Oryctolagus cuniculus: one gene and its partner. The protein of the gene in region 1 purifies or fractionates together with the protein of each later gene. This does not show direct contact. Links are inferred from orthologs where the notes say so. Each region holds a gene or a part of one and is shown in the gene's direction. Other genes may lie near its edges.

Region 1 (4,360 bases):
AAGGTGTGCTAGGAGCGCACGTCAGGTTGCTGGAGCCCCCCTCCCATCTGCTCACCCAGGAGCAGCATGATGTGGCAGCATCAGGCCCCCCTGGTGTCTGCCTGTGACAGGCGCGGGACCAGAGGAGCCCTGTGGACGCCTGCGCGGAGAAGGGACAGCACGTTTGCTAAGCACTTACTATGAGCTGCACATTAACCTGCCTCTGCAGGAGGGGGAGGGGAGGGCCCCCATTTTGCAGACAGGTCCAGTCAAGTCTCTCTCAAGGTCACGCAGAGGTCCTTTGGAGCCCAGGCTGGCCTGTCTGCTAAGCTCACCAAGCCAGAGCCATGCCCATGCCCAGCCTGGGGCCTGGCACGCAGTGAATGACCTCTCTGAGGGCATCGGGAGGGCCTCTCTGGGAAGGGGCACGGGGCTGGGCTTGGAGAAGAGCAGGGGTTCTCAGGGGAAGGCGGTGGGGGTCCCTGCGCGTGTGGGCCCCTGGCTCTGGGAGCTGTGGGGACCAGGGTGTCCGTGTGGGCATGCAGCCGGCAGGGCTTGGGGCTGGGTCCTCTGGGGTGGGGGAAGGGAAAGGTCACGACCCTGGTGCTCCGTGTGACCTGTGCTGGACTCCCCCCTGGGCTTCAGCTTGGAGTAGAAGCCAGACTGCATTTCAGAGCCAGCCAGCTCTCCGCTAGCCACCCCAGTCTCCCTGTCTGCTCTGGGGCGCCAGGGCGGCTCTCCTGGCTGTCTACCCCCAGGGGTCCTCTCTCTGCCACCCTGGGGGGAGCAGGACTCTGGCCCGGCTCCTGAAAGGAGCGGCTGGAGGGTCCCCGGAGTGCCTGGGGAGCCGGACCGGCTCGCTGGCAGTGGGGCCGGGTGGCAGGGTGTGGACCCTCCTTTACGAAGACCGCTGAGTAAGACGGGTTTGGGGGGACCGCAGACGACACGGGCCTGGCGTTTGGCCACGTCTGGGTGACCTTGGGAGCTCTGACCCGCTGGTTGTCACTCTCCCGGCCCTGGCGCTGCCGAGACGGTGGTGAGGGTCCCTCCAGGAGGGCTGCCCGACCTCCCAGAGGAGGTGCGCAGGGCTCCTCACTGTCCGGTCTTTGGGACGGAACGGGGAGCGCCAAGAGGAGGGGGCCGGGCCCACGGGACTCCAGACTGGCCGGCTCCCACCCACCCGCTCCAGGCTCGGAGGAACCCTCCCCACCTGCCCCTGGGGGGGCTACAAAACCCGGGAGCGGATTCTCGGAGCGGCTTCTGGGAGGAGCGCTCCCGGGGCGAGGAGGAAAACCCGCGCAGGATCTCGGGCAGGAGCGGGGCACGCAGCCCCCCAGCCCCTGCCCCCGGCCGGCGCCGCAGGCCCCGCGGGAGCGGGTTGCATGCCCGCGTAGACTGAGCGAGCCGGGCCGGGTCGGGCCCCGCGGGCCGCCGGGGCTCCGGGCCGGGCGCGTGGCCTCCGCAGCGGGGCGCGGGTCACGTGTGAGGAGGGGCGAAAGTCTCGCAAAGCGGGCGGCAGGCGGCGAGTTGGGAGTTCTCGGCGCGCCGCGGGCCGGGAGCTCGGGCTCCAGGAGAGCCGGGGACGCGGCGGCGGAGCGGGGCGGGGGAGAGCGCCGGGCGCGGGGCGCGGAGGGGACGCTGGAGACGCGCGGGGGAGACAGGCGCGGCAGAGGCGGGGGCGCGGGGGAGACGGAGACCCGGACCTCGCGGGCAGAGCGCGGGAGGCGGGCGGCGCCGCGAGAGGGCAGAGACCCCCGCGCAGCCGGAGCGAAGCCGGGAGCAGCAGCGGCAGGGGGCGGCCGAGCCCGCGGCGGGAGCGGGAGGGTGACCCCAGGCCGGCGGCGGAGCGGGCAGCGCGCGCCAGCGGGACCCGGTGACCGACAGAGCTCTCGGCGGGGGCGGCCGAGGCGCGGCGGCGGGGCCGGGCGCCCCCGGAGCCCCGCGCTTTGAGCCCGCACCCGGGGCCGGATGATGCTGACGCCCCGGCTGCGCCGAGGGCGCGGCGCGGGGCAGCGCTGAAAGTTGGGTGGCCCGCGGGGAGCGGCGCAGGACGGCGCGGAGGTCCCGAGACCCACGCACGGACCGACCGCAGCCGGGGAGGGCGCGGGCCGGTCGGCCGCGTCCGCGGGGAGCCGCGCCGGGACTCCCCGCTGCCCGCGCGGACGCCGTGGGATGTAGCGCCCGCTCACCGCCGCCCGGACACCGTCGGACCCTCAACCCCGGGGTAAGCCGGGCGCGCGCCCTCCGCGGCCGCTGTCCGTCCGTCTGTCCTGCCGCGTGCGTGTCTGTCTGTCCCAGCCCGGCCGCTCTGGCCCCCACGGCTCTTCAACTTGTCCCTGACCTGGGTCCCGGCGCGCGTTTGGCGCGGTCCCGTGACTTCCCAGGAGCTAGCGGGCTGTCCGCGTGTCCGTCGAGAGCGTGGCGGTCTGGGTGGCGGCTGGGGAGGTGACTGGAGGAGACCCTGACCTCCTGGCCGGCCAGTGACCCTTTCCCGCCTCCGCCCACCCCCACCTCCCCAACCCCCACTGTCAGACCCAGAGCTTCAAGGCAGGTGACTGGGGCAAGGGGGTGGAGGTGGGGGTGTCTCCTTCCCACCTCCCCCCACCTGGCACGTTTGAGCACCTGCTGTGTGCCGGGCCACTCCAGGGCAGACGGGCAGGGACCCACAGTTCACAGGGTGGGAACCGAGGCTGGGCAGAGGGAGAAGTGGTGCTTCCGTCACGCAGGCAAGAGAGGTGTGAGACTCCCCCCACCTGCAGAACGGGCCCCCACCCACACTCCTGTGCCCTGCCCAGGCTGCAGGGCCCGGCGCCCAGGTTCAGTTCACCATGGAGGGCTTCCGGAGCAGTGGGTTGGCAGCAGCAGGTGGGGGGAACCCAGAGGGGCTGCAGCCGTTCGTGTGTGTGTGTGTGTGTGTGTGACATCCCCTCCTCCACACATACAGTCCGGTGCCCTCCAGGGCTCTAGGGTTTGGGGGCCTGAGGGGCCCCGGAGTCACATGGTGGCCCTGCCTGGCCTGCGCTGGCTGGAACAAATGGAAGAGGGGTGCGAGGGGCCCGAGCAGAGGCTGTCAGCCTGCCTGGGTGGATCCACATCCACGCTGGAGCCGGGAGGGCTGAGTCTGGAACATTCGACTCTGTTCCAAGGTGTGGGGGGGCCCTCTGTGGGGTTGTCTACACTGGGCAGAGAGCCTCATATACCCTGCATTCGGGTTCCTGAAGTGAGCTCAGCTGCTGAGATGGAGTGCCCTGGGCGAGCCACTTCCCTCCCTGACTCTCAACTTCCAAATCTGTGGAATGGGGTCATTGCTCCGCGCCCCACTGCCCTCCACTGGGGGGCGCTGGGCTGGGGAGTGGCTGGGCGGGTGGGAGTAAGGATTTTTTTCCTTTAGGGGCCGAGCAGCTCGTGGCCAGGGGCAGGGTGAAGGGACACTGCCCTAGGACAGGAGTGTCCAGGAATCAGAGGGACCTGTGGCTTGGGAGCCGTACCTCGTGGACCCTTGGGTTCCCCTTGAAAAGGGTCCTCTCCCGAGAAGGTGGAGCTGTCCGAGGTGACTCAGAGCTGGGTTAGGGTTTCTGCTGGCTGTCCTTGGGCAGCTGGCTTGACCTCTCTGAGCCTGGGGAACTGGACCTGGACGGACTTCGAGCTGCGCGCACGAGGCCGCAGGCTGGCAGCATCTTCGCGGATGTGTGCGGGAACTCTGGGCGAAGCAGCCCTGGGAGATGCTGCGAAAAGATTTCTGTGCTTTAGGCTAAGCGGGAGGGGGCAGGAGCCGTGTGGGCTCACAGGGCGGCTGCTTCTTAATGTGGATCTGGGGGAGGCGGGGGCGAGTGCCAAGGGGGGTGTGAGGAGGAGGGGCCCCTCTGCGGGGACTACTGAGTCACGAGGACAGGGACGCGACATGACAACCAGCAACATGGTAACCAGGAAACTAGCGGCGGTGGGAAACGGAGCCGGAGCGCGTGTTGGGGGGTGCGGGTGCGGGGCAGCGCTGGCTGGAGGGTCCCTGCAGCAGCCCGCCGGCTTCCCCCAGACAGGAAGGGAGGCCCGGAGACCCGGTGGGCCGGGGAGGAGCTGGGGGCCCGAGTGGAGGGAGGGGTCCGCAGGGCAGGGGGCTTCTCCTGCCTCCCAGGCTCCTCTTCTCCTCCACATCTCCGCTTTTCATGCCTCTCCCCCCCAGGATGCCAAATTTGGCTCACGCAATCTGTCGTCTCTCTTCTGAGATTGGCACCGGGACGAACGCCGAGCGCATTACATCACCGCTGCTCCCCTGCACGAGGGAGCGGGAGGCGAAGGGCCGGGGCCGGGGCCGGCGGCCAGCCCCCAACTTTCTCTCCCGTCTTCCTGTCTCCTCTTCCCACCTCCGCTGTAGGTGGTGGGA
Region 2 (3,794 bases), on another chromosome or scaffold:
TACGGCTCCGGGCCCGCTCCCCTCCTTCCGGACCCCCCAAATCTCAGGGTGCAAGCTTCAAGTGCTGTCGCTCTTCCCTCGGCTTGGCGTGGGGTCTCTGGGTTGCAACTTCTCGGGGAAAGGCGCAGGGGATCGCCCCTCTTACCCACTTGGACTCACACCCCTCTGTTTTGGGGGTGCCAGCTTCGGTTCCAGGTCATTCTGTGCACCTGGGGCTCTGGTGAAGAGGGGGCCAAAGGGGAAGGCGCAGTGACCCTTTTACATGTCCTAAGCCCCAGTATACCGGGAGTTCAGACTCGTCCTAATTGCAGGGAGCTGTCATGGGGGGAAGGGGGGGTCCTCTTCCTGTCCTGCTGTAGCTGCGGGGGAAATCTGGGACTGAGAGGTGCCAACGCCCCTCCCATCCCCTGGCTGCAGTTTCAGCATTACTCCCCCTCCCCCTGCCCCTCCAGGCTGTTTTTGCTTCTTTTCTCACTCCACGTACATCGAAAATTCCCAGGGATTGAACATAGGGCCTCCCCTCTTGCACCCACATCCTGGAAACTTGAATGCACCATTTCTTGCTCCCCTTTCCCCTCCTGTTGTCTCTCAACCCCAAGGAGCCTTCCCCTCCGTGCCAGACACCCCCACCCCTGTGGGCTGGGGCAGGAAGAGGTGTCTGGGGCTTCAACGTGATCAAAGTTTACCTCTCTCTCTCCGCTCTAGAATACACGGTGAAACATCTTTCTTAACACTTCATTTCCTTGGGTGCACATCATGCTCCTTCATCAGACTCAGGAATGTTCTCTGCCGGGTTGGATGAAGCTGGAGGGGCACTGGGCTCCAACCCTCACCCAGACCCCAGAGCTGGGAGCTGCACCTTGTGGTCCTGTCTCACGTCCTTCCCAGGCAGGGCACCAAGGCCTTGTGGAGTGACAGAGGGGAGCTGCCTCCCCTCCTTCCCACTGGATCCCTAATTCCCTCGTGCACAGTCCTGGCTGAAGACCACCTTTTCAGGAATAACCTCTTCCAGTTCCCAGAACTCTGTTGTCCATGACCCCTCAAGGGTCGAGGGTTGTTGTGCCGTCCTCTCCCTACTTTCCATCTCCCTTTTTTTTTTTTTTTTTTGTCTGTGGTATTGAACCCTGGAGTCCAGGACTCTCAAGTCCATGGTCCAGAGGGCAGCCTGTCTCCCTTCGGCAGTCACCTTCCAGAACGTCAGGGTGTGTCCTGGGGGGTCAGGTCTCCATGCTGACACTGTTTCCCTCCTCAGTCTCCTGCCACACCCTGGTCTACAGTCGAAGTTGGGTGGCATCCTCAGCTTTGATTCATCCCTGGTATCAGGCGTTGTCCTTGATCTTGAAACTGTTGCCCTCCAAAAGTTGGGGTTCTCTCAGCTTCTCAGGCACTTTGGGGAGGGAAGCCCTGCCTTCTGTCTTTGCCCATGTGCACTAGGGCGTATGTTCTGTGTTCGCCAGTGCCCAGGGGAGCCTTGCACTCGGCATCTTCCATCTCTCCTGACCCTGGAGCTGGGGAGGGTCTGCTTCTGTACAGACAGCCCCGGAGGGGAGGAGCAGAGCAAGGTGTGGAAGCACCCAGGCAGAGCTGCTGCCCGTCACTGCTGTCCATCTGCCCTCCTCCTCTCTCCCCTGCGCCCAGTTAATCTCATTTACTGGTGTCCCTATTAAACCCAGCGGGAGGCCCTTGAAATGGCAGCTGGTTAATTGGACAAAGTTACAGATCTTTCTGGGTCTTTCACCCTGAAAGGCCAGAGGGAGACCAGGAGTTCACTCTTGAGCCCCCAAAGACTTCCCTCTTCCTCAGTCCGGCGCCCTGGCACCACTGCTGCCCCCCTCAAGAGCCCTACTGCCTCCCCATCCTCCTGCGCCCCATCTCCTCCTGGTACATCCGGATTAGCTGTGGGCTGTTGTTGGGGAGGGGCTACACTGCTCTGCCCCTCTGCTGACTACCTGGGAATCTTCAGGGCCAGGGAAGAAAGGGCTGGGCGGGCTTAGCCGTGTCGTGTCTTGGGGGGAGCTGATGGCAAGTATCTTTGGGGTGAAGGGCCCCAGCTTGGCCCCTGCCTGGGGCATGCAAGGTGCTGGAGAGCCAATCGCTGCTGGGGTAGAGGCTGCAGTGGGGACACGGTGGCGAGGAGGGTAGGGCTGGGGGGGCCTGGGAAGCAGGAGCAGCAAGTGAGCCATAGGAAGGGAAGGGGAGAACATGGTGGGTGGGCTTAAGGTGAGGAGGGAAGCAAAGAAGTTGGATGGATGTCAAGAGTGGGGGTGCAGGTGCCAGGGGCTGGAAGGCCTGGGAAGGGGGTGCACAGAGATGTCAAGGGAGGGGACATGGTGAGAGGCCAGGGTCCCAGGGTCTGCCGGATTCCGAGTTGGAGGATGGGGCGGCGACTTGGGGAGAGAGGGCAGGTACTGAGGCCCTGGCGCGAGAGGGGGCTGTCGGGAGGGTGGAGAGAGGGGAGCCAATGGGCTGGAGGGGAGGGAGGGGGAGGAGCTGGTCAGGCCCCGGGGCCTTCCGCACTGCACAGGCAGGGGGGGAAGAGGAGGCGGCCAGGCGGCCTGGAGCCCGAGGCACTGGACCGGACCGTCCCCAGTGACGCCTCCATCCCCATCCCCAGAAATACCGCTACCAAGATGAAGACACGCCCCCTCTGGAGCACAGCCCGGCCCACCTCCCCAACCAGGTAAACGCCCCCGAGCTGGTGCACGTGGCGGAGAGGAACTTGTCCCACCTCGAGGCCGTCCACGGGGTCGTGGGCCACGCCCACCTCTCCCCCCTCAAGGTAGGAGACCCTGGCGGCCCCCTCCCCAGTGCGGCCCTCGGAGCCTCGGAGCTGCAGCAACCCCCCAGGGCCGGTAGGGCAAGAGATGGGGGGGCGGGGGCGGGTCTGGGCTTGGGCTCCTGGGGCCTGGGGGAGGGGGCGTTCGGGGCGGGGTGGGGGCTGGACACACTGGTCCCAGCGAGAACAGGCCAGGCCAGCCGGAGTGGGTGCGGATCCTAAGCTGGAAAGTACGTGCGTGTGTCTGCGCGCGTGCTGTGCTGCGCGGGTGTTGAACTGCCTGCGTTCTCCCCAGAGGCCCCCCACGCCAGGACCCTCTTCGTTCCTTCACACCCCCAACCTCCGCTTCCGTTTTCTGTGTCCAGAGCTCTGTTCCAAGCGCCTGCTGCCCTCATTTGCTCCGGTCCCTTGGCCGCCTCCTCCCCCCACCTCCGCCTCAGGGCCTGGCTCTCCCTGTGCCCGAGTCCGCAGCCCTTTCCATCTGTCTGGCCTGAGACTTCTTCCCGTGGTGCAGCCTTCGGGCCTGGTTCCCTGCCCCAGCCTCTGCTCCCCTCTCGTGCTGCCTCCCCCTCCCGCCCTTCCCTCCCCGCTGGCTGGCTGGCTGGCTGGTTCTGGATGCTGTCTCTCTCTTCCTCCCACGCATTCTCCCTCTGCCTCTCCCTGTTCCCAGCTCAGGCCTCTGCGGCCCCTCAGTCCTCTCCCCTTCCTCCCTTCCCTCCTCCCTGCCCTCTCTCTCTGGGGTTCTCGCCTCACCTCCACCCATTGCTGCTTTCTGCCCTGCTCTGCCCCTCCCCCCTATTATTATTCACCACCGCCACCTGTTCCGTCTCCTCCTCTGCTCTCCAGGTGCTTTCCTGGGTCTCTGAGGACTTCCGCTCTCCACTCGGCTTTCCAGCTTCCTTCTCCAGTCTCCTCTGCCGGGGACATGGGTTGGGGAGGAGGGCGTGAGCTGCCAGGGGCTGCTCAGGGATCTGGAGTGGGGATTCTAGGTGGTCGCGGGGCGCCCGGGAACGGGGAG

What was found.
Region 2: the proteins of KCNJ4 (region 1) and DLG4 purify together in Homo sapiens (affinity purification with western blotting, with the first as the bait; 3 studies listed by BioGRID). This does not show direct contact. The link is inferred for Oryctolagus cuniculus from reciprocal best matches to the Homo sapiens genes KCNJ4 and DLG4.

The regions. Positions count from the first base shown.
Region 1 is NC_091442.1:115,108,252-115,112,611, reverse strand, and holds the start of KCNJ4 (inward rectifier potassium channel 4), read left to right. Parts: upstream 1-1,267; 5' UTR 1,268-2,203; intron 2,204-4,360. UniProt on the Homo sapiens protein: Inward rectifier potassium channels are characterized by a greater tendency to allow potassium to flow into the cell rather than out of it.
Region 2 is NC_091448.1:51,817,989-51,821,782, reverse strand, and holds part of DLG4 (disks large homolog 4), read left to right. Parts: intron 1-1,997; exon of another isoform or gene 1,998-2,019; coding exon of another isoform or gene 2,020-2,022; intron 2,023-2,614; coding exon 2,615-2,779; intron 2,780-3,794. UniProt on the Homo sapiens protein: Postsynaptic scaffolding protein that plays a critical role in synaptogenesis and synaptic plasticity by providing a platform for the postsynaptic clustering of crucial synaptic proteins.